4 linked regions of the Oreochromis niloticus genome follow. The protein of the gene in region 1 purifies or fractionates together with the protein of each later gene. This does not show direct contact. Links are inferred from orthologs where the notes say so. Each region holds a gene or a part of one and is shown in the gene's direction. Other genes may lie near its edges. The genes, in order: cdk8, med24, med16 and med23.

Evidence for each region.
Region 2: the proteins of cdk8 (region 1) and med24 purify together in Homo sapiens (affinity purification with mass spectrometry; 13 studies listed by BioGRID and IntAct, counting the BioPlex papers as one, with this or other methods). This does not show direct contact. The link is inferred for Oreochromis niloticus from reciprocal best matches to the Homo sapiens genes CDK8 and MED24.
Region 3: the proteins of cdk8 (region 1) and med16 purify together in Homo sapiens (affinity purification with mass spectrometry; 10 studies listed by BioGRID and IntAct, counting the BioPlex papers as one, with this or other methods). This does not show direct contact. The link is inferred for Oreochromis niloticus from reciprocal best matches to the Homo sapiens genes CDK8 and MED16.
Region 4: the proteins of cdk8 (region 1) and med23 purify together in Homo sapiens (affinity purification with mass spectrometry; 10 studies listed by BioGRID and IntAct, counting the BioPlex papers as one, with this or other methods). This does not show direct contact. The link is inferred for Oreochromis niloticus from reciprocal best matches to the Homo sapiens genes CDK8 and MED23.

What each region holds. Positions count from the first base shown.
Region 1 is NC_031974.2:18,859,140-18,867,607, forward strand, and holds the start of cdk8 (cyclin-dependent kinase 8), read left to right. Parts: upstream 1-5,240; 5' UTR 5,241-5,590; coding exon 5,591-5,718; intron 5,719-7,046; coding exon 7,047-7,122; intron 7,123-7,570; coding exon 7,571-7,681; intron 7,682-8,372; coding exon 8,373-8,468. Other genes in the region: E3 ubiquitin-protein ligase RNF6, read right to left, coding at 1-593, 2,481-2,645, 2,751-2,906, 5,201-5,204.
Region 2 is NC_031973.2:19,694,101-19,701,730, forward strand, and holds the start of med24 (mediator of RNA polymerase II transcription subunit 24), read left to right. Parts: upstream 1-4,234; 5' UTR 4,235-4,365; intron 4,366-4,595; 5' UTR 4,596-4,596; coding exon 4,597-4,726; intron 4,727-4,804; coding exon 4,805-4,887; intron 4,888-5,004; coding exon 5,005-5,043; intron 5,044-5,132; coding exon 5,133-5,206; intron 5,207-5,459; coding exon 5,460-5,683; intron 5,684-6,038; coding exon 6,039-6,150; intron 6,151-6,263; coding exon 6,264-6,414; intron 6,415-6,592; coding exon 6,593-6,706; intron 6,707-6,978; coding exon 6,979-7,032; intron 7,033-7,153; coding exon 7,154-7,236; intron 7,237-7,630. UniProt on the Homo sapiens protein: Component of the Mediator complex, a coactivator involved in the regulated transcription of nearly all RNA polymerase II-dependent genes.
Region 3 is NC_031986.2:36,000,960-36,008,354, forward strand, and holds the start of med16 (mediator of RNA polymerase II transcription subunit 16), read left to right. Parts: upstream 1-4,086; 5' UTR 4,087-4,449; intron 4,450-5,346; 5' UTR 5,347-5,499; intron 5,500-5,570; 5' UTR 5,571-5,616; coding exon 5,617-5,755; intron 5,756-5,839; coding exon 5,840-5,947; intron 5,948-6,158; coding exon 6,159-6,328; intron 6,329-6,447; coding exon 6,448-6,729; intron 6,730-6,856; coding exon 6,857-7,006; intron 7,007-7,106; coding exon 7,107-7,212; intron 7,213-7,372; coding exon 7,373-7,395. Other genes in the region: misp (mitotic interactor and substrate of PLK1), read left to right, coding at 578-616, 693-782. UniProt on the Homo sapiens protein: Component of the Mediator complex, a coactivator involved in the regulated transcription of nearly all RNA polymerase II-dependent genes.
Region 4 is NC_031980.2:6,315,905-6,324,367, forward strand, and holds the start of med23 (mediator of RNA polymerase II transcription subunit 23), read left to right. Parts: upstream 1-5,150; 5' UTR 5,151-5,302; coding exon 5,303-5,353; intron 5,354-5,592; coding exon 5,593-5,624; intron 5,625-7,694; coding exon 7,695-7,782; intron 7,783-7,870; coding exon 7,871-7,995; intron 7,996-8,166; coding exon 8,167-8,278; intron 8,279-8,463. Other genes in the region: il20ra (interleukin-20 receptor subunit alpha), read right to left, coding at 397-1,227, 1,512-1,648, 1,937-2,081, 2,462-2,637, 2,718-2,926, 3,178-3,304, 3,994-4,042. UniProt on the Homo sapiens protein: Required for transcriptional activation subsequent to the assembly of the pre-initiation complex. Component of the Mediator complex, a coactivator involved in the regulated transcription of nearly all RNA polymerase II-dependent genes.

The sequences.
Region 1 (8,468 bases):
GTCTATAGAAGCAGGCGCATCATTACGCCCCTGCTCTCCTTCTACATTCAAGGCTTGCTGTTGTACAGGTATAGTTTGATCAGGAGGAGGGTTTGGAACGTTGGGAGGAGGTGTTAAAGAGTGCAAAGTGCCACCTCTCCTTTGAGTAGCAGCTGAGGACGCCACTGGTGGAGGAAGTGCAGGGGGGCTCATGGAAAGTGTGGTAGTGCTGCTGCGTGTACGCCGTGTCTGCACCCGCCTACTAATGGCTGGGCGGGGGGTAGGGTACGGGGCAGGCCTTGGCGTGGTTGAAGGGCGAGAGCTTGAAAAGGAGGAAGCAGTTCGTATTGAGGGTGATGTATTTGGGGCAGTCACTGGTGGGTCTGAGGCATCCACAGTCTCATTATGCTCCCCTGGCTCTGGCTGGTCATGGTTGATGTTGATCTCCAGGCTAAAGCGGAATTCTCCACTGTTCGGGTTGGTCCGGCTGACAGCACGCCATGTCTGATTGCCACTCTGCCCGCTGCGAGTAGCATTACCAGTGCGTCTGAAAGTATTCAGCCACTCCAGTAATGAGTCACCATTAGAAGTTTCTGCTCCAGGTTCTGTGCCCCCTGTAGGAAGGGGAAAAAAAAGAAGAAAAAAAAGGTTACGATTAGGTAAATTAAATCATTAAATCTACTTCTCTTTTCACAGGTCTCTAGCAGAAATCTTGCTTTTGTTCTCTTGCAACAATATAAAAGCCATTTTAAACTATTCAAAACCAGTACTTAGACTGTATTTACTGTCAGGCTAAAACATAAATACAAACACGGTTCAACAAAGCACGCCGTCTTGTTTGGTACCAGCTTAGGCAAGGTTTAAAATAAATACAAGACCTTCACAGAACATATTATGAAACCTGTCTTTTGTCATCCTTTTTTTTTCCTTTTTCTTTTTTTTTGCTGCCAAAGCAAGTCCTTAAAGATTATTTTGTGTTTTTCCTGTCCTGTGTTTTTGATTTTTTTAAATCAAAAATTAAGTAACTTTTGGCTGTGTTTTGACTGTTGTCGTTATTTCGTCTAATATGCAAGTCTGAGTGTGCAGGTGCCTCTCCGTGATTGGTGCATCCAGGGGACGGATCGTACGGATTGGCTAATGACCGGGGAACAACATATAGGAAGACACCGCCATGGACGGCCGTTCATTCATCCTCGGCCAATCCCAACCAGCAGACTTTGTGTTCCCTGTTTAGCTATGTTTGTTTGATGCAGGAGCATGTAGGGGTGGACTGCCTTTTTGTTTGAGTTTTCTCCTGTTTTGTTAGTTAGGAAGGTAAGTCGCTGTCGTTTGGTTTAATTCTTTTGAGTAGGTAAGTTTGATTTATCCTTGAGATAGGCTCCCTTTGTTTGTTATTTTGGCCTTAGGTCCACCCCGAAGTTTTAATTCGCTCCCTTCCTTTGTTTTTAAATTCACTTATTGTAAATAAATCACAGTCAAAAAGTACTGATTGTGCGATGTGTTGCTTGGGGTCAGATAGGGATGGATCACCCTTATGTTATGGTCTGGCCACCCCTAGGCGGGCCGTAAAAGCTGCTCCATTATTTCCTAAAGCTGCGTACACATATGAAATGATTCGTTCATTGGACATTGCTTCGAAGCTGATGGCCAGTCATTTGTGGACATTCTAAGCTCCAGTTCCCTCAGTAAGCCCCTAATAAGTTTACTACCAGGTCATATGTCAATCATGGGTAGTCTTCAATCTCATTACTCGTCTGTTCATTTACTCCTCTGAAAGTTGACAACGGTTTATCACGAGTGACACCTACTTCCTTTCCCCAGCACTCATTTTGTCTTTATTCACTTGAATTTTGATGACTTTCTAGGGTCTCTAGTCGCCACATTGCTGTGAATTGCTTCCAGTGTGTACGCAGCTTTAGGGGTCACCACAGCAGATGGATCCCTAAAGACCCCGGTATACCCCTTCGTTTGTGACTTCACACGTCACCAGTGCTTGTCACATAGCCACTTCTATTTACTCTCATCGGACAGGCGCAGGTAGCTGCTGCTGTATTCTGATGAATGATAGGTGCCGTGACTCAGACACTACCACCACATTAGTGCTGATAGGAAGAGAAGTAGACAAAACTGAAAGTAAAGACATTTGAAATAAATCCAGAGCAAAATTTTTTCCATCTCTTCAAACTGCTGCAGCATCTCCCTAAGTATAATCTGCGAATCTCTGACCTTCTCTACTGATACATCTTTAAAACTGCAGCGAGAACTAACATGATTTTAAACTCTTATCTTAAACCCTGCTGCAAACTGCCAGGTTACAAAAGTCACGAGGTTGATTCTGCTTCTCACCCCAGAATCAAACCACAGATCTTTTGCATGTAAGGTGAATGTTCTACCACTATACCACAGAGCCATTTAACTCAAAAGTGACTTTGGGGCTTAACATAAAACAAAACATCACAAAAGCCAGATCTGGAAAGATTAAGGGAAGAAGTCCTTCCTACCTGCTCCTCGTCTCCCTCCAGCACCTCTCTCTTCTCCCTCACCGCTGCTGCTCTGCTGCTCTCCAGACTCAGAAGTCTGTGAGCGCTGCTCGGTAGAAGGCTGAGATGACAAACGCTCTTTTGCTCCATCCAGACGCTGGCGGAGCTCTTCAGCAGTCACCTCCCCTGTAAAACAAATATTTCATGGGCTTTGTGTTTTTTGTACAATAAAAATAACTGTGGGTACAGATACAACAACATGGCGCAAAAGCATCAAGTGCCCCTCCTTACCAGGAGTGCCCAGCAGGTTGCCATCTCTCATTAGACGGTACTCCTCTTCACTCAGTTCATTAATGAAGTGATAGTACGCCTCCTCCCTTCGAAGACGCTCTGCCTGCCTCCGCCGTTCATCTCCCCCACCAGGAGGGTCCATCACCGTGTAAAGTGCTGGCAGACAAATAAGCAAGAGTCAGTCACGGATGATCTGTCACTTAGTTACCCTCTGTAGATATTTGTCTTTCTAATATGTTGCAGATGAACAAGTCATGTGTTAGCTAATGGTCATCTGATTCGGTTATGGACAAGCAAAGATCAAACTGTTATATAGCGAGCAGTTGCTATAAATAAGACCAGCGCAAAACACAGTGCAAATATGAGCTGTTTGCTCAACGTTGTCTTTGAGTGACTATTTCTACCCAAGGGCAACAGTTAAATCAACGCCATCCATTTTCTGTCGAAACACTTACAGCAAAAGAATGGAAATGGCTACGTTAATCTTGCTAACGTTTAGCCTAGAGGTTAGCGCCGAAAATTCATCAAATTTAATTATGCCCATGCTCAGTTAAATCCCTACCACGGTAAATCTAAGGGGTAGTGTAACAATGAAGCAGTCATCACGAAACCTAACATTAACGCAGTGACAACAGTATCCACGGAAGGCCATGTTGAAGGCAGCGGAATAAAGCAACAAAACTGGCGTTGTCATCCTGGTTAGCCACCAATCAGCGGCGTAATCTCAAGACGGACACGCCAGGCATCCAATCAGCGTTGAACATAGGCGGGCCGTGATAAACCGAAAGGGAGGCTTCCTCCATGTAAACGCAGGGCAAACAGTGAAAGACAAAGAATCTCGTCAGCGCTATTAGAGAATTACAAAATCGAGATGTTGACACATAGTAGCGATTACGACAACATTGGCTCAACATTACAATTAGAATTGTGGATATTTAAAAAGCCATTTAAGTGCGCAATGCTTCAGCTACTAACTCAGCGCTAGCTCGTTAGCACAACCAGCGTTAGCGACTACCACATAGCTCCGCTAGCCGACCCACCAGCGAGCTACGAGGCTCATTAACTTATCATAATTTATTATGACAGAACGTTTTCTCAAGCAGTGGGAGTACACGGAACCTATCACTTAACCCTAACACACTTTCATAAGAGATGACAGTGGCATGTAAAAGAATTTCGTACCTGACGAGGCAGCTGTAATATGGACGGTTCGCTTTGCTCTCTCTGCTCTCTCAAATCAAGATGGGACCAGCGGTGCTGCACTACAGCGTCGGTCAAAAACAAGATGCCCGGCTATAATAGTTCCTACCTAACATAACATCAAAGCTAAGCTCAAGGTTTGGCTGACCTAGGTGACAGCAGTGAATGTCAGTGTAAAAGCATCATTTATAAAGTTGCTATACTTTTATTCAGCTATACTATACTATCTAAAACTTCAAAGTATTTTTCTCAGAAATGTGAGTTAGTAAGATTACATTTCGAGATTAAAACACGGAAATTTTGACTTTTTTTTAGTGGTGGGAACAAGCTTCACATTAGGGTTCTTGATGCCTTTGTTTAAATTATTTTAAATATTCTAAATATTCAGCTAATCATATATTGTATCTCAGTCATAACTGCCACTCTTTATTGGCAATTATAAAGGTTGCTGGCTGCAGAAGCTAAAATAGCTCTTCCAACATTCCAGGGTATGGTAATGAGTGGATAGGTTCTTGGACCAATCATAGCAGTTTTCCACTTTTAAAATACTTTAAACTGATTCACTTAGATTTCCAATGGGAGTGGGACCAAGATTAGAAATTAGCATATCAGAGGCACACCTCAAATTGAAACAAAATTAGAGAGGCAAGGCTGAGATGGTTTGAACATGTGCAGAGCAGGGATAGTGGATATATTGAACAAAGGTACTGAAGATGGAGCTGCCAGGGAGGAAAAGAGGAAGACCACAGAGGAGGTTCATGGACATAGTGAAGGGGGACATGCAGAGGGTTGGTGTAACAGAGGAGGATGCTAGAGATATGGTGAGATGGAGGGAGATGATCCACTGTGGTGACCACTAAAGGAAGCAGCAAAAAGAAGATGATAAAAAGAGTTTAAAAGTATATTGTTTTTTGTCTCCCTTTTTTATACGTTTCATTACTTTATCCCGTGACTGCCCATTCAACATTAATCTGTTTGGACAGTCTTTTTCTTTTCACAATATAGTGCTATTTAAACCATACTTTACTTATTCTCTTGAATTAAAATCAAATGCATGTCTGCTTTCTTTGTGGTGGACAGAATGTGCAGATATTTGTTTGCACAGCCCTCTTATAGCCACGTAATAACCCACAATACGGAAAATAATAAGCTAGCTTCTCCTTAGCATAAAGACGATACGATGATATCAAGTCATATCTCAGCTATATTTGAGTGAGAGTGAGAATTTCCACGTGGTATAGCCAGCCTACCCATTTTTTCTTTGGCTCTTTCTCTGCTGCAGGGCTGTCTTCACGACGTTTTACGACAATGCCGTGCGCGAATACGCCGTCGTTACCGAGTGAAGTGCGTCCCTTCGGAGCAGATACCGGCTGAAGAGAAACGCAGCAACAAGATAAAGGAATATATTTGGGGCTCCGTTTCCACCTGGACCATCTCGGAGCGCCGCATATCTCCTCCGGAGCTTTAAATTTAAGACGAGAACTCGATGTGAAAGCCGGGCTGGAGGAAGGAAAGAGCCACGCTGGAGAAGGCAACTAGCTGAATTACCAAACCGAGCTCGGTGGAGGAGCCTAGTTGCCTCCCAAGCGACGCTTTAAAAAAGGAAGGAGCGGATACATTCAGGCCAGACGGTGGTAAAAATGGACTATGATTTTAAAGTGAAGCTGACCGGCGAAAGAGAGCGTGTCGAGGACCTGTTTGAGTACGAAGGATGCAAAGTGGGTAGAGGCACCTACGGCCATGTATACAAGGCGAAGAGAAAAGATGGGTGAGTTGATGAGCAGCAAGGCCTTTTAGCCAGTGAACCCTAGCCAGCTTACCCCCCCGCCTCCTGCCTCTCTTCTCATCTTCCAAATAAATGTTACCTCTCTCCTCTTCCTCCCCCTTTCAAGGCCACTTGCAGATGTGGGAGTGTTGCAGTGGGTTTGTGTAGAGACAAAAGAGAGCAGTGTGAGCAGTTTCAGCTCGCACTGTTGGGATGCTGATGAAGCTTTGTGTCGCGCACAAAAAACACCGACATACGGTTTACCACCGGGATTGGAGCTTTCCCTTTTCATGCATCTGTTTTGTCACGTATATGCCTAACTCTAGGTACTATTTTTTATTTATTTAAGCTAAAGTATTTTTTAATTCCCCCCCCCATGCGATGTAGTAAATGTAATACAGCAGGTGCATGTGGAAGCACTTGTTGATGTCTTCTTTTTTTTAAGTCTTTGTTATACATGATACCAAAGAGACTTTTACAAGATTTTGTGTGAATTCAAAAAATAATCTTTAGTTATGCCCAGTTTTTGCACTCTTAAGTCTTTTTTTTTTTTTTTTTTACCCAATTTTATCATTATTTTTTTTATGCTTTTAGCCTTTGCATGAAGTAAAGTAAGGGAAATAGCTGAACCCAAACTGTAGACTTATGTGGTGCATGGTTAGTGTGCTAATCCCTCAGGATGCCAGGGCACCACCCACCTTTCTTCCTAAAACTTTCCTGCTGTTTCTAATGTGAGCCTTGTAACAGCCTTAACTGTGTCTGGACCAGAGCTGGGGGAGAGCTCAAGACGGTTTAAGCTACTAGTCCCGTTATTACAGCCCGGACATACTGGCAGCAGGAACCACACAAAAGAGTCCTAAAGTGTTTAAAGATGTCTGTATTTCGCTTTAGGAGCCTGCTTTTTTTATGAGACTTTTTAGCAGAGTTGCGCTGCTGCTTTTGGACGAGGCCTGAGGAGGCACAAAGCTTGGGTTTATGAGATGATTTAGGCCCGGCAGAGGGAGGGGTTGTAACCAATTCGTTCAAGTAAGCGCCAGTGCCAGTGCTCTGTTTGTCCCTTGCCAGCTGCCAGACAGGCCCTGTTTCCTTTCCCTCTCTATTGTTTTGACCCTCAGAGGTGAGCTTGATTACACAAATTTGGAGGTAATGCAACTCGGCCTCTTCTCAGAGTCCCACTGGCAGCTGCCAAGTGCCCCCCTTTATGTTGCTGTGCAAACGGCTCTCAGGGGGCCCTCAGTCTGGACTGGTCTGGGCTGGTCTGGTGTTGATGTTGCTCTACCTTTCTGTGTGTGTGTGTGTGTGTGTGTGTGTGTGTGTCTGTGTGTTTGTAGGAAGGATGATAAGGACTACGCCCTCAAGCAGATTGAAGGCACTGGCATCTCCATGTCAGCCTGCAGAGAGATTGCAGTAAGAGCTGCTTGGCTTACTCTGTTCCTTTTGTTTGGTCTGTGATTAAACACCTTCTTGCCATTCCAGGTGCTTTATGTAACGTCTGAATGACCTTCACACGCTAGTTTTTGTCAAGAAAATGAAAAATGTGAAATACAAGCAATTGTAAAATTGAAAAGTCAGGAAGCAGATGTTAATGCAGTGCATATAGAGAGTAGACACAGAATTAGTGATATGACGTATTGCCTCACAAGCGGTTTTCTTTAAAACATCTTACTACCAAAGATTAAAAGTGTTCAGTTGAGGAGATGATATCGTGTCCACCCCCCTGTTTAAGTATAAATTCTGGTAATCAGTACAGTCGCAAAAATAAGTGCAAAGTTTCTCTTTCGTTACGTCATTTTCATTCATGATGTCTGTAATGAGATTGTGTGGTTGGCCTTCTGAGTGGGTTTGTATGTTGCAGCTGCTGCGGGAGCTGAAGCACCCCAATGTCATCTCACTGCAGAAGGTTTTCCTGTCACATGCTGACCGTAAAGTATGGCTGCTCTTTGACTATGCTGAACATGATCTCTGGGTAAAATGCAAACACACAACACACACATACACACACACTTGACCTGCATGACATGACTTATCATACATATTATGAGGGTAATGCATGTTGGGTTTTTTTAAAATTGTTTGTTTTAAGCATTTCTTTATTAGTTTATATTCATATGCATGCATGGGTTGCAGATTTCCACCTATTTTTATGAGCACAAAGACATGACTTAAATAGGCCTCTCTTCATAATTAGGTCATAAATGTCCATGCAATTTGATAGCAGTTTTTTGGGGGGGGGTTGCATGTCCTTTCTTTTAAAAAATGCCAAATCCCTTTTAATGCCGATGCATTCACATTCGCTTTCAACCAGTAATAAGGAACGAGACTTGAAATAGTGCTAATTATGCATTGGTAAGTCTCATTAAAGCACACACATCCACCAAGAAGTATTCCATGTTGAGCAGTTAAACCTCTGCTGCATTACCGTTGACAGAAACAGCTGGCAGAGAATCAGAACTGAGTTAGATGCCGTTTTCTGCCACAGAGCTCCAACAATTGCATTCCCCTCCCAAGGAAGTGGAAACACATGTCACAAACATTAGGCTCTCTCAACTCGCCTGCAGCACACTTACATTTTTGTGATCATATGTAGCAAAAGAACATGCATTTCAGTCAGTCTGTACGTGCAAACCCTGCTCACTGTTTACCCTTTCTTTCCATAGCACATTATTAAGTTCCACAGAGCATCTAAGGCCAACAAGAAGCCGCTTCAGTTGCCTAGAGGAATGGTGAAGTCTCTGCTCTATCAGATTCTGGAT
Region 2 (7,630 bases), on another chromosome or scaffold:
CAAGCAGACACTTCACAACAGTTTGTATGCCAAAGCAGTCTCTAGTCAGACAAATGAAAATAAAACCAGTTGAAAGCGCTGCTGAGTTGACAGTACAAACTGATCCTGAAGTGTGACTGGACTTTATCCAATTACTGAGATGTGTTTTGTAGTTGCCCAAATGGAAGAGACACAACAGCCTTATCCTACAACCCATCCTTGTCATCCTGTGTAAAAAGCCCACGGCTGTAAGCCGTGCACCAGTAGACATTAAAAGACCTCATAGATTAAAAAGAATAATGAATGCAAGTGCCATACCTAACTACAGTCTAAAATTATTGTTTAAAATATTGAAATTTAACATTTTTGCTATCTACAGGTATCTTGTTAGTGCTACAGTCATCAGTTGCATGTTGTAGTTCCAAGTTGTTTTTTTTTCTTAAAGCGTGGGATATTTTACTGATATTTTGTGCTCTTTGTCTGTTCTATAAATGCTGTAATACAAACACTAGAAATGGCAAAATTTTGAAATTCTCTATTATGTCAAATGAGAAGTTTATTGTTTTCTTTTAGCAAAGTTATTCTCCTCAACTTCTCTATGCACACCAATACGACAATTCTAATATGGGTTAAAACCACTCAACACATTTAGGCTTTTAGACATGGTCAAGGCAGCCTGATGAAGTCTAAACTCAGGATCAGAATGAAGAGGAAAAGTGATTTTGGAGGTGGCATGGTTGTTGGTGCCAGACGGGCTTGTTTCAAAAACTGCTCATTTGCTTGGATTTTCCCACACAACCATCTGTAGGGCTCACAGAAAATGGAATGAAAAGAGAAAATATCAAGAGAGCAAAATTTCTCTGGTTGAAAATGTCTTATTTATGTCAGAGATCAGAGGATGGGCAGACTGGATGGCAATAGCAACTCAAACAATCACTTGTTAAATCCAAGGTTTGCAGAACAGCACCTCTTGTACAGCAACCTGAATCTTGAAGCAGATGGGCTACAGAGGCACTCCTGTCAGCTAAAAACAGGAAACTGAGGCTAAAAAAACTGGACAATGATTGGAAAAACATTGCCTAGTCTAATGAGTTTCCATTTCTGCAGCAACATTCAAATTCTAGACTCAGAATTTGACATAAACAGCATGAAAGCGTGAATCCCTCCTGCCTTGTGTCAATGATTTAGTCTGGAGGTAATATAATGGTGTGGGGAATACTTTTACTTTTACCAACAAAGCGTCACTTAAGACACCACCAGAGTGTTGTTCCTGACCATGTTGGTCCATTTATGACCACAGTGTACCCATCTTCTGATGGCTGCTTGCTTCCAGCAGGATAACACACCATGTCACAAAGCTCAGATAATCTCAAACTGCTTTCTTGAGCATCACAATGAGTTCACTGTCCTCAAATGGACTCCACAGTCACCAGATCTCAGTATAACATAGCATGAAGCTCTCATGTCAGTATGGACCAAAATCCCCGAGGAATGTTCACCTTGTTAAATCTATGCCATGAAGAATTAAGGCAGTTCTGGAGGCAAAGTGGTTTCAACCCACAACTAACAAGGTGTAACTAATGAAGTGGAAGGTGAGTGTTTAGTGCATATTAATTTGTTATAGTGTTATTTACTGCAACTGTGCTTTCCCTATGTACATTGTTTGCATTACAAGAGTGGGTCAGCAAATTTAGAAAGCCTCCCCATACACGTTATTCCCAAAGTCGGTTGCCATGGCTTTAACAGCTTTAACCAGATGTTCATGTCTCTCACTTTATTGTTCACCTATGTTAAAGTTGCTGTTTCTACATCACCCTCCAGAAAGACTTTCATTTTGAGTTCAAACCTGAGAGAAAGAAGCTGTATGCAACATTAAATGTACTGACACATTATGTGCCTTACCTTCTCTTGGTTACAGTAGTTGCCTCTAGTCTATCCTGATTCATGAAGCAACATCACTGGACAACCTGAGGGGACAGGAGAGGGCCACTCTCATTTCCTGGTTCTGAACCCTTGGTAATTATCTTGGTGTGCCCAGAGGCCCCAGGAGAGAATGAATGACAGTAATGTTGTGTTTTTTAAAAAAAAACAGAATAGAGAAGTATAACAGATATAAAGATCTAATAGAAACACATGCTATGAAATATCACATTTATTTAGTTCTGCTCTTTCATAGGGATCATTATCTCCTGCCTCTCTGTGCACCCCATACAGGTGGATGATTATGGGTTATTAAGCAATTGGCCCTAATGGATTTAATAAATTGATTACACAAAACACAACGCAACACATAATCCACATAGTTTCATTGTTAATTGCTGGTGTTTGGAGATAGTAGCTTGTGTTTATCTCATTATTATGTAGCTGAAAGGTATTGGTGGTGTTGAGAGAATTAAAAAAAATTAGTTTGAAGAAATAATAAGCATCTGAAAATAATACTTCTAAAAACTATGGGCCATTTTCAAAATTAGATAAGTTGTCAATACAGGGTTCTTTCATAGTGAAAGTATCTACATCCAGGTAATCCTGAGAGACTTTGAGCACCACAAACTAAAAACTAGTGAGTCCCGTTATAATGGGATTACTCAATAGCTTACATAGAAGAAAAATAAGAGTCAGCAAAACTGGGTCTGTCCCGGCAGTGAAGTCATGAGAACAGACACAGAGCTGTGACTTCAGTCTCTCCGGTCTCCCCAGGGGTAGACTCAGATCTCTCAGTACCCTCCACTAATGCAGCTCTCCACTATGTAGAAGGCAAAGGGGATAAGATCACTCTGCCCAAATTCACCGCTGCACACACACACACCTCAACTTCATAATCTCTCCAACCCTCACCTACCAAGACAACGCCAGGACGCATGGATCATCTCTTGCTGGCTGGCACAGGGCCGTCCCAGGACACAGACTTCGCTCTATCAGGACACCGTCTCCAGTGTCAGGCAGAATGAGGGTCTTTGTAGTCATAAACTCAATACAGGATATTCCCTAACAGAAGTAGTTGGGTGGTTTTGATATAGAGAACAGTATCCCTTTTAGCAAGAAACACAACTGAGTTCAAAAGTTAAAAGGAGAAAGAGAAACTCCTGCCTGAGTAGAATTTTTTTAAATACCAGTGCCACTTTCAGCATTGTTCTGAATATATTTTCTTCTTGAGCATGTGCTTTGTGAATAAACAGATTTGTTTATTTATTTAAATCTAAATAAAGGAGCCATTTCCACATTTCCACATAGTTTATTTCACCCCTGTTTCTTTCAGGTTTTATAAGAGTGTGAACTGTTGTAAAGACACATGTCCTGTTTTGCTTTTTTTCCACCTCAACATTCTGACATAATAAACAAAATCCTGCTGAAAGGGACTGGACTGGCACACACAAAAGAGCTACACCGAGGTAGTGAATCACACAGCTGAATGAGGTGGTTATGTAAGACAACAATGCATTTCACTGTATGCATGGATGAAATAATCAAAGAAAATAAATTCAACTTAGTTATATCAGGTATAACTTATGTCATCACTTTACAGCTAACAGTACAAGAAAAATTAGGTTAATGTGGAAACAAATGACACCAGTTGTTATTAAGTTAAGCGTCTGTTTAGTTTGTATACATATATATATATATATATATATATATATATATATATATATATATATATAGATAAGTGTATTAGAAAGACTTGTTCTAAAAACTAAAACTTCTAAAAATACCTAAAGTAAAAGCACTTACATAAGGATTCATTTCAGAATATCACCAATTCAATATTGTGTAAACAAGTTTAATATGGTAGTTGTAGCTAGTTTTAATTGGTCTTCATACTGCTGAGTAATCTAAACCTAGCTAAAATCTCCGATAAATAAGGTGGTGTATAGAGTCCTGTATTTGCCTCCAAAATTTAAAGGAGTAGAAACAAAAAGTTGCATAACACAAAAATACTAAGTCATGCCTCTGCAAGAACTATACTTTCCTTCATTTTCACTAACAAACAAAACAACACTGCAAACGGCTAACAAGACATCACAGGTGTCACGCTAAAATAGCTGTTTATATTAGAAAATTATTCAGTTCTTTGGTTTCATGTTTTACCCTTAACTGGAAGGCACAACAACAGTTTTGCTGCCTTCATTTCCTTATGTATGGAAAAGGTATAAATTCTAAGGTCGAGCTTTGATTCTTACCTTTGTAAACAGCGACATCTGCTGCTAGTCGAGCGGAGCTCTGCCGGTATTCCCCTTCAACCAATCCGCGCGAAGAATACTGAAACGTCAGGAGGTTAACCAATGAACGGGTACGTCTTTCAAAACAAAAACGTCGATTCTTGCGTTGTGAAGCTGGGGTCCTATAAACAAATGTATTTTAGCGTAAGCTTCTAAAAACTCAAAGCGTCAGGTAGGTATCAGATTTAGCACCCTTTTGTAGACTCGTTTTGGTGTTAATTTATTGTGAAAACTGTTTGTTTTCGGCATCAGACAGGAGAAGTTTTCTTTAACTATTTCATTAGCAAATAGCATAAGCTAACGTAGCTAGGGAATAGTGTAAAATAAGCTTGAGTGTTACAGCGTAAAAACGAACAGTGACTGAATTGTGGCCATTTTTATTGATGTTTTTTCCTCCGCCAGGATGAAGATGGTCAATTTGAAGCAAGCCATTCTGCAGGCTTGGAAAGATCGTTGGAGTGATTACCAGTGGGCCATCAACATCAAGAAAAACTTCCCAAAGGGAGCTACATGGGACTATCTCAACCTTGCAGGTTGGTAGTAGTCTGTTTAAGTATACCGGTTCTTGTGTTTTCTAAAGTTGCTCTAACTGTTCCTTGTATATAATTCAGAGGCGTTGATGGAGCAGGCGATGATTGGACCATCCCCTAACCCACTCATCTTGTCTTATCTCAAATATGCCATAAGTTCACAGGTGAGATAAAGCACTGTTGTATTTTAAAAAAGCAAATGAAAACGTGTGAAACTGAGAAGATTCTCTAACCTTGTTGGTTGTTTTGCATGTTGCGATTTGTCTCCTCTCTTGCCATAGATGGTGTCTTATTCCAGTGTGCTTATGGCTATCAGCAAGGTAGTTTTCTGCATGACAATACTCAATGCAAAATTATTTTTACTGTAAGAAAATGTTAATGATCTTAATACTTGTCTTTTCTGTGACAGTTTGATGATTTTTCCCGGGAGCTCTGCGTCAAGTCACTGTTAGAAATAATGGACATGTTCTGCCATCGCCTTAGGTATGTTAAGTGTTTCTAATGTATCTGCATTAATCTAATTCACGTCTTTTAAAATTCTGATTGATGCAGAAATGTTTTATTAGAACCAAGGTATGCAGAAGAGCATCTCTAAATGCACAACACATCAAACAACACAACAAACCATGAAGCGGATGAGATCCAGCCCTGTACTAGCAAGGTGTACCTAATAAAGGGACCAGTGAGTGTGCATCTTGCTTAAAATGTCACTGCTTCTTGTCTCTTATTGATCCAGCTGTCACGGAAAAGCAGAGGAATGCATCGGGCTTTGTCGGGCTCTGCTGGCAGTGGTAGTGTGGCTGGTGCAGGGCTGTGCGTGGTACTGTGAGAAGCTCAGAGAACTGGGTCCATCAGCCAGCACAGAGACCAGTCTTGGAGCCTGCCAGGAAAGGCTCCAGAGTTTGATGAACAGCACCAAGAACAGAGCTTTAGTCCACATTGCCCGATTGGAGGACCAAGGTATATAAGTGTGTGTGGGTATTTGTTTACACATAGGGTTGTGCTCAGTGAAGTCTGGCTGAGATCTGCTGATGTATCAGTACGTCTATATAGTGTGTAAATTACCTGAGGCTCTATTAACATGCTCTCAAAGTTTGTTGGCAGTTTATTTGCCTTTTAATATTAAGTCATTCTAAGGCAAACACCTGCATATGCATGGGATCTGGCAATTGTTGAAATTATTGCCATTCAGCCATAGTGATACAAAAATGTCACTTAAGCTAAAACTGTCATTTTTGGCCAAATCTTTAAAGTGTGTTTTTGTGCCGATCGTGGCATCTAAACAGTGTTTCTGCTGCTGCTTTTTCTCCAACAGGTTCCTGGAGCAATGTAGAGCAAGCTGTGCTTAATTTGATAGATGGTCTTAGTAGTGTGAGTAACTCAACGCTGCTTACTAAATTAGAGGAGAGCTTGTCACTAGTAAAAAGGTGAGGCTGACACATTAATACAGAGCAAATGATCCTCCTAAGCTTTAATTTGACAATAGTTTCAAGCCTCCCATCTGACTTCTTTGTGCCGATTTCTCCACTCTCTTCTTCAGTATTCCCATGATGCTGTCTGAGCAGAGTGACCCTCCAGTTCATGCCTCCTTTCCATCAGTTCATGCCTTCATCATGCTGGAAGGGACTATGAATTTGACAGGAGAGATACAGCCGCTGGTGGAGCAGTTAATGATGATCAAACGAATGCAGGTGAACATTAAGCTGTGAAAAAAATCAAACAGTAAAAATTTAGACTGACAGATTTTATAGGACAAAGGAATTTCATTACACACAGAAAAGAAACATTTCAGCTTTTGGCCAAAATATTACACAGCCTTTCCTGGTGAGGTTTTGTGTGATGTAAATGGAGTGTTTCTGTTCCCATCAGCGAATTCCTGCTCCCCTTTTTGTCCTGGAGATATGGAAAGCTTGCTTCACTGGCCTCATTGAGTCACCAGAGGGCACAGAAGAGCTTAAATGGACTGCCTTTACGTTCCTTAAGGTAAGCTCTACTTCAAAGAAGAAAACTTGGTCCTCTGTTGTCTTTTTCTCTGCCTTTTGCTGCCTTTACTTGCTGTTTATATCATTAACTGCTTCCTTGACTCTGTTTGTTGTGGATTTTTAGTTTAGAGAAGGAATAGTGTGCCAAATTTTGTGCAGTGATTTTATAAATCTCCCCTCTGAGCTGTCTGCATGAAACTAATTTGGTAGTAATATTACTGTCTACACTCCACAGAAATCAGATGAAATTAACTTGTGATTTCTTCATCTCAGATCCCGCAAGTTCTACTCCGACTAAAGAAATATCCTCAGAGTGACAAAGGACAGGTAAAGTAAATGCCTGACTGATCTTTGTATTGTAAGTTAACACCCAGATATTGAGCGCTGCGTGTGTAATGTCATAAACTGTCTTTGTCACTTTCAAATGTGCAAACGTTGCATTTCCCAGGATTTCATGGAGGATGTGAACATAGCATTTCAGTATTTACTTAAGCTTACGCCACTCCTGGACAAAGCAGATCAGCGATGCAAGTAAGTGCTCGTAAATGTCACTGGAGATGCCCCTGATCTCAAAATAAGATTATATACATAAGAAAAGCAGTTATAGCTACTAAGCCTGGTTCTGCCATAGGCTTCTTCCTGTTAAATGGGAGTTTTTCCTTCCCACTGTCGCCAAGTGCTTGCTCATAGGGGGTCATCTGATCATTTGGGTTTCTGTGTATTACTGCATTACCTTATAATAAAAAGTACCGTGAGACGACTGTTTTTGTGATTTGGCACTATATAATTGAGTTGAATTGTTTAAAGTGTCTATCGTTAGAATTATTATCTATTTTCCATTTACCATCTTTTATTCTAATAATAGTATAGCTGTTTATGTTTGCCTGTATATACCAAGTTCAACAATGCTTCCAATTTTTTTTCC
Region 3 (7,395 bases), on another chromosome or scaffold:
CACATCTGGACAGGTCCATGTTTCCTCTTCCATAACATCAGTCTGTGAGCTGAGGCGAACAGCTGAAGATCACAGAAATCCAATACTGATTTACAGCCTCATCCCTGCGCTCAGATCCACTGAATATGCTGATGATGTCTTATTGTGTAGTTGATGATATGTTCACAGCAAGGACTGTGATTCTGAAACAGGTTGGTGAACCTCTGAGAAGCTCCGCCTCTCTGAGAGGATCTTTTTCCACCTGATCACGTGACCGACCTGCTGCCAGCTCACCTTTGATCTTTTCTTTTGCACTGCCGGACTTTGACACACTTTTACTGCTCCGTCGCAACTTTTAGGTCGAGTCGCTGCTGCCAAATTCCACATGAGCTCAGATTTGTCAGTAAAATGTCTCATTTTGAGTATTTACTGTGTTTTTTGTGCTCTATTGTGGATAAAATATGAGTTTATGGGATTTGCATTTTATTGCATTCTGTTTTTATTTGCAGTTCAACCAGTGTCCTGACTGTTGGAACTGAGGTTTTAAAACTGCACAATAATAACAGAGTCTATTTTTTATTTGTCTGTTTCTTTACAGTACGCAGGAATCCAGCCAGTCGATGAGATCAACAACGAGGTATGGGCTTCTCCTGTAACATTAACCCCTTTACTCCTTGTCTCCTTAACTCCTTGTCGTCTTGGCCTGTTTTCAGGTTGTGGAGTCGACTCGAGTCAATCGACATAAGAACCAGGGAGCTCTGCTCTGGGAGGCCGGACGATTTGCCAACCAGGAGAACCAGTGAGTGTGCCTGACTCCGAAACAGGACTCGACCTCAAGCAGCAGGGCAGGAGATCCTGAAATACAGGACTGAGTTTCTCCTCAAGCTGGGATGCAGTGGTTTCTAAAGACTCTCCAACAGAAATGGCTGTTGCTGATTAGTCCTTGAAGATGACAGCAGTTCCCCTTGTCTAATCAGCAGTCCGTTGGTTAGAGCCTAAAACAGAGACAACGTGTCTGATTCATCTAGAGAAAAAAAAGAGTTCCAGTGTTTATCTGCAGACTTTTAATCTGACACAGCAGCACAGGAAGTTTCTGATTGTTTTCATGATGCATCAAAAATAAAGAATGATTTTTAGTCCTCAAACATTCAGATGGTTCACTGCAAGACACAAACATCTGCCAACAGCTGCAGTATTATAGCAGAATCACAGCGACAGGAAGCTCAGTTTTACCTGCTTTCTGAAAAACACTTGAACAGAGGGTTCTAACTTTCTCCAAAAGATCCAGAAACAGGAAGTGTAGCCAAACAGAGCACGCCAAACCCATCTCTGAAACAAAGGTTCACAATGTGTTTTTAGCAGCATTACCACTAAACCTTCCACACAAAATTAAACAATGATTCTCACTGCTTTAACCACCTAAGACCCGAACTGTTTCATGGCATGCATTTTTAATTTCTCTTTGCTATTTGGGCTGATTGTGACCTGATGAATGTAAAAACAAAGAATTACCAGATTTATTTATTATTTTTTTTTACCTGATTTTTGTTTATGAGAAAAATGAGATCCACATATGAGGACATTCGTTTTAAATTTTGATAGAAGTGTGGCAATATAATGTCCCCGTAACTGGATATCAGGCCCCTGTAGAGCAAAAGTTTGTATTTTGGTCTAGACAACCCAAAATGTGATGTCCACATATGTGGTCACCGGGTCCTAGGAGGTTAAACTGACGTTTCATTCTAGTTTATTTGTAATTTACCTGCATTTCTGTTTTTTTGGTTTCGTGTTTTGATTTGATGTAAAGCACCTTTGTAGCACCTGTTGTATCCCGACATGTGCTACACAAATACATTTGCTTACTTAAACACACCGACACAGCACAAAACATAAACACAATAACCAAACACACTGTTTGGTTACACTCACCTCATCGTTATACAAACGACCAACAACATCAGAGGGTACCTGGTGACAGCAGAGAGGAAGAACTCTCTTTAATCGGGAAGAAAACCAGGATCAGGGAGGAGGAGACAGGAAAAGAGGACGTGATGTTTCTCAATAAAGTCTTTCTTTACTTCAGCCCACACAAAAACCAACCATATGGACAGCATCCTGCTCTTGATACAACGCAGAAGGTGATCAAAAAACAGAGGATCGAACTCACTCATACAGCAGATCATTGGATCAGACCATAATCTAGCTGTGCATAGGGATGGGTATCCGGTGCCAGGTTCTGACATAAACGGTAGTAACCAGACCGAAAAGCGGCGCCCATTTCGGTGCTTTTTTTTTCTTGAGATGTCATACACTTTGGATTCTAGCCAATCATTTTACCTTTCCAAGGATAGTAGGCAGGCCCAGGTACGTACGTTCTTTTAGTTCTTCTCTGAGTGAGTAGCTTAATGTTGTTCGTGTGTAATTTACATTGAGTAGGCTAACCACGTTATTAAATTAATGCACGTAAGGTGAACTAGCAAAGACCGTCATAGTTACATGCGGCTGTCTTCTTGTTTGATAGAGTGACACCATATATGCCCTATAGCTGCAGGAAAGGCTAACATTGTTATCTTTTTACAAAAATCCCCCCAGCTAAACATGAGAGGTTTTAGGACAAAGTTTGTGTTTTCCATTGTTTAAGCACCGGTTCGAGCACCGTTTAAGCACCGGCACCGTTTCAAAAGTACCGGTTTGGCACCGGTATCGGATAAAACCTAAACGATACCTATCCCTAGCTGTGCACCCAGTGTTGCCAACTCCTCAGTAAGGAAAATCGCTATTGGCTGTCCTAAAAGTCGCCAGAAGTCGCTAAATGACATCATCGCCTAATTTGCATAATTGGTCATGCTAATGTAATTGTAACCTACGTTGCTGGAGAGAGAAATAACATTGTGGAAGAGACATAAAGTGAGTAAAAAACGTCCTAAATGCATTTAGAATTTATTTAGAACAACAAATTAAATTTATTTTAGCAATTATTGTTTTTTTTAAAGTCAGAATTCCAACCCTGCTCCTTTATCCGGTCTTGGACCGGCAAAAAAGACCCGAAATAGGCACTCTGGTGGAGTTACTTTGTGTGTGTGTGTGTTTATAAGTAGTTTTAAACCTCGTGATCCACAAAACAGCATAACAGTAAAAGAAGAACTGACTGCGTTACAGTCAGTGCGGGAGCAGCGGCTTCGCTCATGCGCGATTCATTTGCAGTTCGGACGCATAGGTGTGAACATCGTCTGCCCTGATAGCAGCTGGGGGAGGACTATCCTCCGCCTGTGAGCGCTTTGGTACGGGCGAGGTGCCCACGGCAGCACCCGCTGCTTGTTGAGAGTAAAAGCGATGCCCACTTTCACGTCAAAAAGTCGTGGCTGTAGCTCAGGTGGCAGAGCAGGTCAGCCACTAATCAGAAGGTCGGTGGTTCGATCCCAGGCTGCATCCTGGCTGCATGCCAAATATCCTTGGGCAAGATACTAACCCCATGTTTGCCTACTGGTGGTGGTCAGAGGGCCCGGTGGCGCCTGTGTCCGGCAGCCTCGCCTCTGTCAGTGCGCCCCAGGGCAGCTGTGGCTACAATGTAGCTTGCTATCGCCAGTGTGTGAATGTGTGTGTGACTGGGTGAATGACTGAATGTAGTGTAAAGCGCTTTGGGGTCCTATGGACTAGAAAAGCGCTATACAAATGCAGGCCATAAATAAATCTCCAATAACACCAGAAAAAGTCGCCAGATTTGTCGCTAGTCGCTTTTTAGAAAAAAAGTCGCTAAGGGGGTCTGAAAACTCGCTAAATATAGCGACAAAGTCGCTAAGTTGGCAACACTGTGTGCACCCTGTCAGTGTGAACTCACAGCTAAAGAAAAAGTCACCTGACACCAGATTTAAAATACGTTTCTGGACAGATGAACAAGATGACAATGCATCGAGGTCGGATATTTTTTCAGCTTTAGTTTCCATTATTAAAAACAACAACTAGTAAATACTAGTAAAGGAAACCACAATAAACTAAAATCGATGCAGGTATCTTTTAATTTTTTTTCCGCCTAGAAGACTTCGCTGAGGGCAGAATGTTCCCGGGGATAGAGGAGGGTGTCCGCGGCGCCCGTCAGATTAACAGCCGGTTCGTCGCACAGAGCCGATATCAAACTGATCACAGAGGTTATATCAGTCATCTCACAGACAAACACGTTTATATTACACGTGGCTTAAACGTCTCGCCTTGACGCTGTTTGAGTAGAGCTTCGGGGTGCCGTCAGTGTTTTATAGTCAGGCAGCTGTAGAGGCAGCCGCGGGGTCCCCACATCCTTTTAACAGAGAGCGGTTTGTTTTTAACAGCAGCAAGCAAAAAGCGCTGAATTCAACTCAAGTCTGCTGTTTCGGTGTTTTAATGACCTTAAGTTAATTTTAAACAGCCTTAAAAACAGGAAAAGGAAAACAGCTAATTTTCATTCTCATCTGGGTGACAGGAGCGGAAAACCGTCAGGTGAGCTAACGCTAGCGGCTAGTGCAGCTGCTCATTCACTGTTGTGACTGAGTACTGTGACCATGGTGTTATTTGGCACGGCCTGGGTGAACAGTTTGATGCTCAGTTTGAAAAGGAAGCAGCTGAACTGCTTTAAGTTTGTAAAGACGTTTCATGCAACAGGCTTCTTTAGTTCTACAAATTAAAGTGGAGGGTCCCAGGTGTTTAATCCCCATTGGAGGTGATCCTGAGGGTTACCCACTATTGATCATGTGAGTCAACACAAGAACCAAGGTATGAAAGAAGGTGGGGCTCATTACCATCAATGGGGTTTAATGGTGAAACCACTGTGAGATGTTGCCCCAGCCCATCGTGTGACCTGTTGAGGACACCTGAGCCAAGGTATGGATCTGGGTGGAAATAGTCGGTTTTGTAAACCCCGCCCTCTGTTCAAAGATGTTCGTTCACAGTGGACATAGATGCTTCTTCCACTAACCATCAGTCCTCTCTGTCCGAAATGTGAACATTGGCATCCTCAAAAGAGTGACCTTTGACTTTTAGATGCAGATGTACAGCTGAGTCTCTCTTCTGTGTACAGGTTTGAGCTTTCCTTGCAGCACGGCACTGCACAGCATACACTGTTGTTTAGTTTGTGTCTGAGTGTGTGGCTGGGTCTGAAGTACACTGGGATGCTTCTATGATAAACCTGCTACATACGGGATTACAGTGTTGTTCCCCTTTGTCCTTCTTATTCTCCCTAGTTGGTGTCTGACCTTCTTTTCTGTGCATCTTTGCTGATTTGATGAAAGCCCAGTGGGGACAACCACATGTTTTAAGAGCTTTCTTCTTTACATGTGTGTTCCTTTTCTTTCTTTTGTCCTTCTACTTGTGCTTTGCTTTTTCACATCTCTGTACCAGTGGCTAAGTGTCCCTTTTGAAAGCTTTACTTTCCACTACTTCAGGTAAAGGTGGCACTGGGGAGCCCGTGGCTCATGCATCTGTCTGACACATGTAGTGGTAAGGCAGAGGTCTGATCACTCATGTTCATCTCTGCTCTATCCACACAAACAGGTCAGTAATTGGTGTTTAAGTGATTAGAGCAGCTGACAAGATTAAATCCCTCTGACTGGTCTGCTTTTTAGGTGACGCATCCACCTGGGCTCTAGATTCTTCTTCTGTGGTGGAATCATGGAACTGGCCTATGTGTGTGAGTGGGAGAAGCGTCCGAAGAGCACACACTGCCCTTCCATCCCGCTGGTCTGCTCCTGGTCCTGCAGGAACCTCGTGGCCTTCACCACAGACCTGAAGAGCGAGGACGACGACAAGAGTACACAAATACACACGCACGCGCACACACACACACACAGGCGAACACACAAACACACGCTGAACTTGATGTTCTGTTTTCCAGATGTGAGTCACATGATCCATATCATCGACACTGAGCACCCCTGGGATGTTTTCTCCATCAACTCTGGACACACTGAGGTCATTTCCTGTCTGGAGTGGGACCAATCAGGTGAGACTTCAGTTAAATGTTTTGGAGATGAGCTCAGCTGATTGATTGACTGTTATTGGTCTGGAATCGGATTGGCTATAAGCTGTTCAGACTGTGCAAGCAGGAGAATCTGCTTTTCTCTTGCTTTATGTACAGTACATGTTGCAGTGTCACGTTCTGCTGAGAGAGACAGGAAGTGACGTGTGTGTCTGTGTGTTTGCGCGTGCTGCAGGCTCACGGCTGCTGTCTGCAGACGGCGACGGGCAGATCAAATGCTGGTCGATGTCGGATCACCTGGTGAATAGCTGGGAGAGTGTCCTGTCGAGCTCGCTAGATGGAGACCCCATCATCGCTCTCAGCTGGCTGCACAATGGTGTCAAGCTGGCACTGCACGTGGAGATGGTAATAGCTGCCCACACATGTGCACACACCTGCTGGCTCGTTGCAGTGATAGCTCTGTGTCTTAATACTCACTGAGACCAGTTGAGTAAGCCCTGCCTCCTCTTCTCCTCTTGCTTCAGTCTGGCTCCACAAACTTCGGGGAGAAGTTCTCTCGGGTGAAATTTTCACCGTCCCTAACGCTGTTTGGCGGTAAGCCGATGGAGGGCTGGCTGGCGGTGACAGTGAGTGGTTTGGTGACAGTGTCGCTGCTGAAACCGGGTGGCGCTCTGCTGACGGCGAGCGAGAGCCTGTGCCGGCTGAGAGGGCGCGTGGCGTTGGCCGATATTGCCTTCACCGGAGGAGGGAACATTGTGGTGGCTGCCACAGATGGCAGCAGCTCCTCGCCTGTGCAGTTCTACAAGGTAAGGACCAAAGATGCTGGTGTTACCAAGGGGCTATCACCTCTGATGCTAACCTGACATTTGCTGGCGTCACCAAGGGGCTATCACCTCTGATGCTAACCTGACATTTTACCTTTGGTTGTTTCAGGTGGTGGTCAGCGTGGTGAGTGAGAAATGTCGCATTGACACTGAGCTGCTGCCGTCACTTTTCCTGCGTTGCACCACCGACCCGCTGAGGAGGGAGAAGTACCCCGCTGTCACCCACCTCAAGTTCCTGACCCGGGAGAACTCTGAGCAAGTAAGACCAGTGTGCACAGTCAGATCAATAAGACAAGTGTGGCCATTAAACCCGAGACCACCAGGACCTTCAGAACTCAGAGGAAGTGTGTACTTTTCAGGTTCTGCTGTGTGCGTCCAATCAGAACGGCAGCATCGTGGAGTGCTGGTCTCTGAGGAAGGAGGGACTTCCTGTCAATAATATCTTCCAGCACCGTTCGCCAGTGGGTAAGAAGACCCAGCACCAGCAGGAAGTGATGTAACAGCCAGCTAATGGTTGACATAGTAACAAGAGGCTTTAAGAATCAGACTGTGTGTGTGTGAGTTCATGACCACTGACCTTTTGTATTTAATGCCCTGACTTTCTTTATTTGACCTCTTCTGACAGTGGGAGAGAAGCAGCCGACCATC
Region 4 (8,463 bases), on another chromosome or scaffold:
ACATTAGGAAAAATACAGATTAAAAACAAAAGAAATTACATTAAAAAAAATATACAGTGTATCTTGTAATTAAGATAAATACACATTTCCTTCAAAGTTCATCATAGTATGATTTCTTCATGTGTATATCAGTAGATTTTCAGCTATAACGGTAACCCTACTAAGTGAGTACTAAGTGCTCCTAAAACTCTGCTTTTATCACACACTGTATGCATTTTAATAGAGCTGAGAAACTGTATACTGGCCATGTTTCATGGATTATCTTTCAATAACAGGGTTAGTGCTTTTTACTGATGAATATCATCTACTGATCCATGGGGATCCCAACAAAGTCCCATTTGTTGAAAACCTTCGCCACCTCACTCCCTGTTTCCACCTGTCGTTTTCTAACTCTTTCTATTCCTCTTCGTCACTTGCTTGGCTGACAGAAACATTATCTAGCCTCAACCTAGCTCTCGCCACATACTCCTCTTCACTCAATCTTCTACCTCTCCCTGAAAGTAGAGGTACATCCAGTCCTCTTTCATGATTGACACTAAAGTCATCTAGCGTGATATCAGATTGGTCCGAGTGGGAGGCAGACATGTTTGGAATGTTCTGTGGGGCATAAGCAGACATTAAAGGCTCATTTTCACAGTTATTTCCTTCCTCCACACCTCTGTTTGCCACTCCCTCCCTATCTGTGCTCCAGATCACCTCTCCACACAGCTCTTCTCCCCTTTCTACTTCCTTGATTGTTTGCGGATTTAACCGAATGCTTAATAGTAAACTTCTTATCGCTCCATCCTCCTTTGATCTCTGAAAAGACTGTAAACCTGCAAACGACCGGCCCTGCAACTGCATGGGGGTTGGTCTGCATGTCCAAGTAGTGTTAGCCTGAGGCGCGTAAGCTCCACCAGAGTTAACGCTCTCAACTCTCCGGTCTCCATCATCTTGATTCCCTCCCCTTGCTTCCTCTTCTCCTTCAACAGTGATTTGAGGAGCCATGCTGATACCCCCGTAGTCAACAGACAAATCATCCAAGGGTTCCTCGGGCTCTAAGGGAGGCTCATGCCTTTGGGGGGAGTACCTGGGTGGGGGATCCACAACTTTTAGAGAGGCGAGGAGGTGTTTAGGGTCTAATATTGTGCAGTCTCCTGGTGGCTCAGGGCTGAGGCGGCTCACTAAGAGGAGGTTGGAATTCTCAGGAGGGAACACAAGAGGAAGCTTGTAAAAAGTAGATGCGTTCTGGAAATTGGAGGGGAAGGAAAAAGGTATGAAATGTTTGATAATCTGCCTTTGAAACACTGCTGAAACATATTATTTATGTGAATTTCAAACAATAGTCTCAGTTTGCAACTATAATTATGTCACTGGGTCCCTACAGTGAATTGTTAAATTCATATTTAACAAAAAAACAAAAAAAAACAAAACAAAAACACCACACCACCCACCCAATCTAACCTACATTAATTAAATTAAGTTCAGGTTAGGTATTGCATTGCCAGTATGTTTATATGCATTTCAATTACCAGTATATTTGGACTGCGCTGGTCTTTCCCAGACAGGTAGCGATGGAAAAGGTAGCCAGCTGCAATGATCATACCAATGCACAAAGCTGGAACAACAATACCCACAATCACACTTTGCAGCTGCTCAATCACAGGGTCTATAGAAGAAGAAGAAAAAAAAACAAAAAAAGAGGGTGAAGTCAGTAAAAATATTTATTCATCCAGCTTCTGATGACATTTTTGGGCTTGTCATTTGAAAAGAAAATAAATCTAAAATCTGAACCATTTCCTTGACCGACATATTTGGCTCACACAAGGAAGTACAATACACCTGCTGCACAAACACTAATTGCTCTTCAGCTTTGATAACACATTTATTGACATTCCTTTCTACATTACATCCGAATATTCTTATTTACAGACACGGTCACGCAATGGAGTTGTACCTTGAGATGTGGTTATGCAGAGCCATGCAGAGGACTGGCAGTGGATTGGCATCGTTGGGAATTTCGACTGTGCAGAAAAGCAGTATTCCATGTTGTACTTCATCAGCCGGTATTTGTACACGCTGCCAACAACTGGGAAATGGTGCTAAAAACCAACAAGTGGACAGATTAGGCAATGCTAGAGAGTGGGAAAGAATTTTGTAAAAAATTGCTGCAGAAAAACCAAAAAGTTTATGCTTTGTGGGTGTAGGTTAGTTTGTCGTCATAGCTAAGCAATTAAAAAAAAACTACCAAAAAAATGAAGGTGTAGTAGGTGACTCAGTGCTCTACAAGGAAGTTTTCAATGTAATGTCTAGCATGAATCTTTTTATTTGTGCCTGACAATCCTGTTTTTAAATGAAAGCAATTCAGGGCAGCAACGTCAGATAGAGATTATATCACCACGTCCTAGAATTTTAAAACTTTTCTTAGTATGGGCAGTCAATCTATAGTAGTCATATATATTTCTACTTGATTTATACCTACCGTGTGGTTCAGATGGGTGTTGTGAACAGAAAGGTTGTAAATCATTTCGGGGTAGAGTGTCGCCATGGAAAGCGCTGGGGTGTGGTTGTTTGATGGATACCTCATCGGTCCCTTTATAGTGATGATGGCACTGGTGTTTTCAATTTCCACAGAAAGCAGTGGGGGCCCCAAAGTAGCTACAAGGTTGGACAAACCTTTGTTGTTTAATGTGTAAACATGTTAAATATATTGTAATGCTTTTGTTTCTTTAACTTACTTTCTGTCTTTGGATTGAATCTTCTGGGTATGAAAGCCCATTTGGAAGACACTCCCCTCTCCACAGCACGAACTTTGGCATAGTAATCCTCATCCGCATCCCACATTTCACTGGTCAGATCACACCACGTCCGCACTATTTCTGTACAGTGCTGCACTGCCTTCCAGTTCACCCGTTTTCCCTTCTTACCTTGAATTCTGTCTCCATAGCTGGCAAAGACAAAGACCCACACACTCAGAGGTGAACTTTTGCACAGGTTGAGCAGAGTTTGCTTAAAGTCACAGTCAGTAAAGAAAATGAACTTAAACAAAGCAGACCGATTTTGAGATCTTGTTGCATTTTATTTCTTTTAGCCTTGCTGGAACTTTTTTTTTTTTGCCAATAAATCCCTTTGGGACTGCATCCAGGCTAGTTCTTGGGAACTATGAATTTTTATTTAAACTCTAAAACATTTACTCACATGGCATATTGCACTGTGTAGAGCGTTTCATCTGCATGATTGCCTTTTCCTGGAAACCACTGCAGCACGTTCCTCAGATTTACAGAAGAGAAGGTGACATTGATGGGGCTGGGGACAGGCTGGGAGACTGAGGGGAGCGAGACAAGAGGTGAGGTGCCTGTCATCAGAATATACACCAGCTTCTAGTTGTCCTGACTGACCTTTAAACTTCTCCTGTGTTTAATGGTACTATTAAACTAGTTGTCCACATATAACCGTAAGGTGTGAGCTGTCACTATGATTCACTGCCTTTCAGACTTTGTTCCACCTCACACAGTACACTCGGCTCCTTATAAATCATTTCAAGTAGGCAAACACCATAAAAGTGTTTGATCAAAGATTCTCTATGGGAAGATTATCCAGACTACATTTTCTGTTTGCAATTTGATCAAAGAATGCCTCTCATGCTTTGATCTCCCGGGTGAGAAACCCGAGTCTGTAAAGTGACTTTACACTTAAAGTAGAGCTCCATGCACTAATACATTTTGTGTGTTAACAAAACCACATGCGTTTATAGCTCGAACAGCCGCTTTCTGTACTTAAAGTGGACGAACTAAATTACAATGTGTTAATGCTTTTAGAAGTTCCCAGTTTCATTGCAGATTTCTTTAATGATCTCATCGTTGGCTACTGTTGTAGCATAAAAGTCAGTCCGCTTGAATTGAATAAACGCCATAAAACTAACCGCACAAAATGGAAACAGTGGAAACAAAGAAACACAGCATCCACAAAGTAACAACAAAGAAAACAGATATTAGCACTTAAATGCAGACCTACCTGTGGAGTGAAAGCTATAAAAAATGAAAAATGTGAATATAGCCAACATCTTTGTATGGAGTCGTCATGTTTTCACAAAAACAAAAAAGCAAATACTTCCAGTCCTCTCGGCAGGTTCCCCCCAGCTCCTCCTCATAGTACACCTGCTCGCAGTTCTCTCGATTAAAGGAAATTAAAACCACGCACTCAAGGTTAAAGTGAAAGAATGTAGCTAAAGTCGGAAGAGTTACATGAAACTGCCACCCAATGAAACCCCGTGGACTGCAGTTAAAGGAATCCCTGCGACCTGACAGGTTTCCGTGTTTCTTATGGGAGAAGGAATGTGACCTTACTCGTTTGTGAACAGTTCACCTGTCAGCCGCGCGCGCGGGCGTGGGCGTGTCCGCGTCCATTGAGGTAATAGGCTACAAAAATCTAAGCTTAAGTATAAGTACTTAGTAAACAATCAGATCCACTCCAATATGTGAGAAGAAAAATACATTATACGTGACTCATTTCCAAATAAATCCGTGAGCTGTGTTTAGTTTTGCTGTGGTGTGGCGTGTGGAGGCTGTTAAGTGGAAACAGGTACAGTTTCCTTAAGATGCTCCTGGGGTGTTTATCCGGATAGCAGCCTGGGTAATAAGGTGCACCATGTTATTTCCTTAGTCCCTTTCCCCCCAGCTAATATCCTCTCTCTCTCTAAATACACTGTCAAATGAGATTAGATATTAAAAATTAATATTGACCCTACTGAGTTAAACCTGGGTAACCCATTTGCAAAGAGAAAGCTGTTTTGTTTAAAGCGTAAACATTTACTCTTACTCTTCTTCATCACACCACAATTATTCCACCACGAACCTCACGAAAGCTATAAACAAAACATGGAAAAATCAATTAGCAAATATCGAGAAGAACAGCAGGTGCTCAAACATCGTCCATTGTGACATCTGGTGGCCACAGATCTGTCTTAGTGAAGGGACAGACTTTTGAATACAGATTTTAAACTCTCAAAAATGCGAGCGTTGTGAGAAATATTTGAAAAAAATAATATTATTAATGTGTAACTTTATTATTTGCAAATTACTGAGGTATGAGAATTACAATTTATAATAATAATTAAGCAAAGAAACAATGGAGCGGAACTGTTCCGCTTGTGTTTCCGTTGCATGCCCGGATTGTTTTTGCCATCGCGCTTCTCCTGCGGCGGCTTTCATTCTGCTTCCTTTTAGCATTTAGCTTGTTGGGGTTATCGACTGTGCTCCCGTAGAGGAGTGACGGGTTTGAATTCTGGGATGGTTCGTTGAATAATTGTCTTTTGGTTGCAAACATGGCGCTTTCGATGGAAACGCAGCTTCAGAGCATCTTTGAAGATGTTGTGGTAACTTGCATCTTTGTTGACTGAGTGGCAGCCAAGCTAACATTAGTTAGCATTTCAGATAACTGTAGTAGTATTTTCTATTTACTGAACTTACTTTGGTTTGCAAATATAACCAGATGGTGTTTTTACTATATGTCTCCAGCTCGCTAACATAAGAATTAACAGCTAAGGGTGCACCGTTAATATCACAAGTCTTCACTTACGTTAATGCGTTTTTATTTTCTCCTTTTTTTTCTTAGAAAACTGAGATGATAGAAGAGGCCTTTGCTGGGTAAGGCTGCTCTGAATTCATGTTAATAACCCCCGATATTTTGCAATTGCATTGTTATTAGCTTAGGTGTAATGTAGGGTGCCACAAACGATTATTTTGATAGTCGACTAGTCACCGATTATTTTTGCGATTAGTCGACTAATCAGATCATGCATCCATTGAACGTAAAACGTACAGTTTATTGCACTAGCACATGTCTGCTCTTATATAACTATCATTAGCTTACAGCTTGAAGTGTTTAAGGTGCTAACTAAAAATAAAGACAAGAGGATAGTTTATTAAATTTAAATGAAATTTGCAGATTGTTTCGGTGGAGTTTAATAAACGCAGCCGTCTGCTCCTTGCTATCTAAAATATAACAGGACACCGGAGTATATTCTCGAGCATCTCACACTTCTGATAATCAGTTGTCTGCTTGACGTTTATTCAGCTGTGTAAAAACTATAACTTTAATCTCAGCCAAACCGATTTACTCAGGAACAAATAAAATACTGAAAAAAGCCCAATAATATCATTTTTAAGTTATCTAAGTGACTTGTACATCATGTTTAACCTGAGTAGCGAAAGACGGCGGTGGGTTTGAAAACGATTTGCCGGGAGTCCGGTGTTCTCACCGGCTCTAGTGAGCCTTGAACCCCGGCTAGGTATCGAGCTAATGGGTAACAGACGTCTCCGAAAACGTCGGAGCGCTTTTGAAAATATGTGGTGTCTTGATAAACTGAGCAGATATTTGAAGTTTACACAGCTACATTCTCGCCTGAAAATATATTAAACGTTTATTTTGTGACCCAGAAAGAATAATAAGAGTAACATTAAAGCTAACTAGCTGCCGCCATTGTTGAAAACTGAGCAGGGCCGCGCTATGAATTCTGGGACACAGCTTCTTCTTCTTCGGGGTTTAACGGCAGCTGGCATCCTTGTACATGCAGTGCTGCCATCTTCTGTTTCAGTCCGTTATTACACTCTTAAATCCTACTACTTATTCCTGCGTCTTTTGGGATCTTACAAAGCTTCAAACGACGCGTTGACTATTAAATTAGTCGTCGACGATTTTGATAGTCGACATAATCGTGACTAGTCGACTAATCGTGGCAGCCCTAGTGTAATGTTAAGTTACTGCACACTGGTAGTGCTGCTGGATGTTATAGTTATAGTTATAGTTTTTACACAGCTGAATAAACGTCAAGCAGACAACTGATTATCAGAAGTGTTTTAGCAGTAAGACTCACAGGCCACTTTGTTAGGTGCTGGAAACATTTCTCAGAGATTTTGGTCCATATTGACATGACAGCATCACACAGTTGCGACACAGATTTGTCGGCTGCTCCATCCATGTCGTCAATCTCCTGTTTCACCACACCCCAAAGTTGTTCTGCTGGATTGACATCTGGTGACTGTGGAGATCATTTGAGTACGTTGAACTCATTGTCATGTTCAAGAAACTAGTTTGATGTAATTTGAATTTTAAGACATGCTGTGTTATCCTGCTTTGCCTCAGTTGCCTATTCTTAGCTTACATTGCCGGCATCCATTATGTTCCTCAGCCGCTGTAGTCCATCTGCCTCTGGGTTTAACATGTTGTGTTTAGAGAGGCTCTTCTGAATAGGGGGGTTGTGTTTATTGGAGTTGCTTTTTCGCTCCCATCACCTCGAAGCAATCTGGCCATTGTCCTATGACTTCAACAAGGCATTTTCCCCCTGAGAACTGCTGCTTGTTGCCTTTTTTTCTCTTTTCTGGACCATTCTCTGAAAACCTTAGAGATGTATATGTGGGGAAAGTCCCAGCAGATCATCAGTTTCTGAAATAATCAGATCAACCTGTTTAGCACCAACAACCATGCCATGTTCAAAGTCACTTAAATCACCTTTCTTCCCCATTCTGATGCTCAGCTTGAACTTAACTAGGTCTTCTTGACCATGTCCACATGCCTAAAGGCAGTTAGGTGATGTCGTGTGATCGATTGATTAGATAACTGTATTGAAAAGATGTGGCTAACAAGAGTGGCCGATGTGTGTATATTAAAATGTACGGAGCAAAATTAAATGCTAAAATTAAGAAGTGTGTTTTTAGGATGTTTATGGACACTCCAGAGGATGAGAGGACTAAGCTGATCAGTTGTCTTGGAGCCTTCAGACAGTACTGGGGAACCCTGCCACAGGTTTTTACACACACACACACACATGCACTCCCACTTGCTCACACTTACATGGCTGAGATTTTTCAGTTGCTCCAACGTCTTTCTGCAGGAGTCTCATGAACAGTGTGTGCAATGGATTGTGCGCTTTATACACAGTCAGCACAGCCCCAAGAGGATCTCCTTCCTCTACGACTGTCTGGCAATGGCTGTGGAGACCAGTCTATTACCACCCAGGTACACAGAGACATATAGTGTGAGATTATTTGACACCTAAAGAAGTAAAATGGGTTCAAAGAATGATTTATAATATTTCCATATATTAATTTATTATATTTAATTTATCTGTTTTATGACATCCCAATATAATCTGTTATTTGTCTATCTCATTAATCTTCGTGTCTTTAGGATGGTGTGCGTGGCCTTAATAAGCTCAGACAGTTTGGAGTGGGAGAGGACACAGTTGTGGGCATTAACTTTCAAGCTGATCCGCAAGATCATCGGGGGAGTGGACTACAAGGTCTCTGACACAAAACTTCTCGCACGCAGACACATCTGGATTGATTCTTCCAAACTCGCGGCCGTGTTTGTGCTTTTTTGTTTTGATTTTCAATGGTTATATTTTTGTTGGCTGCTGTTAAACAGGGATCTCTGGCTTTTAGAAGAATATCCTACAATGTGTAATACATTTGAAAGTCGTTTTTA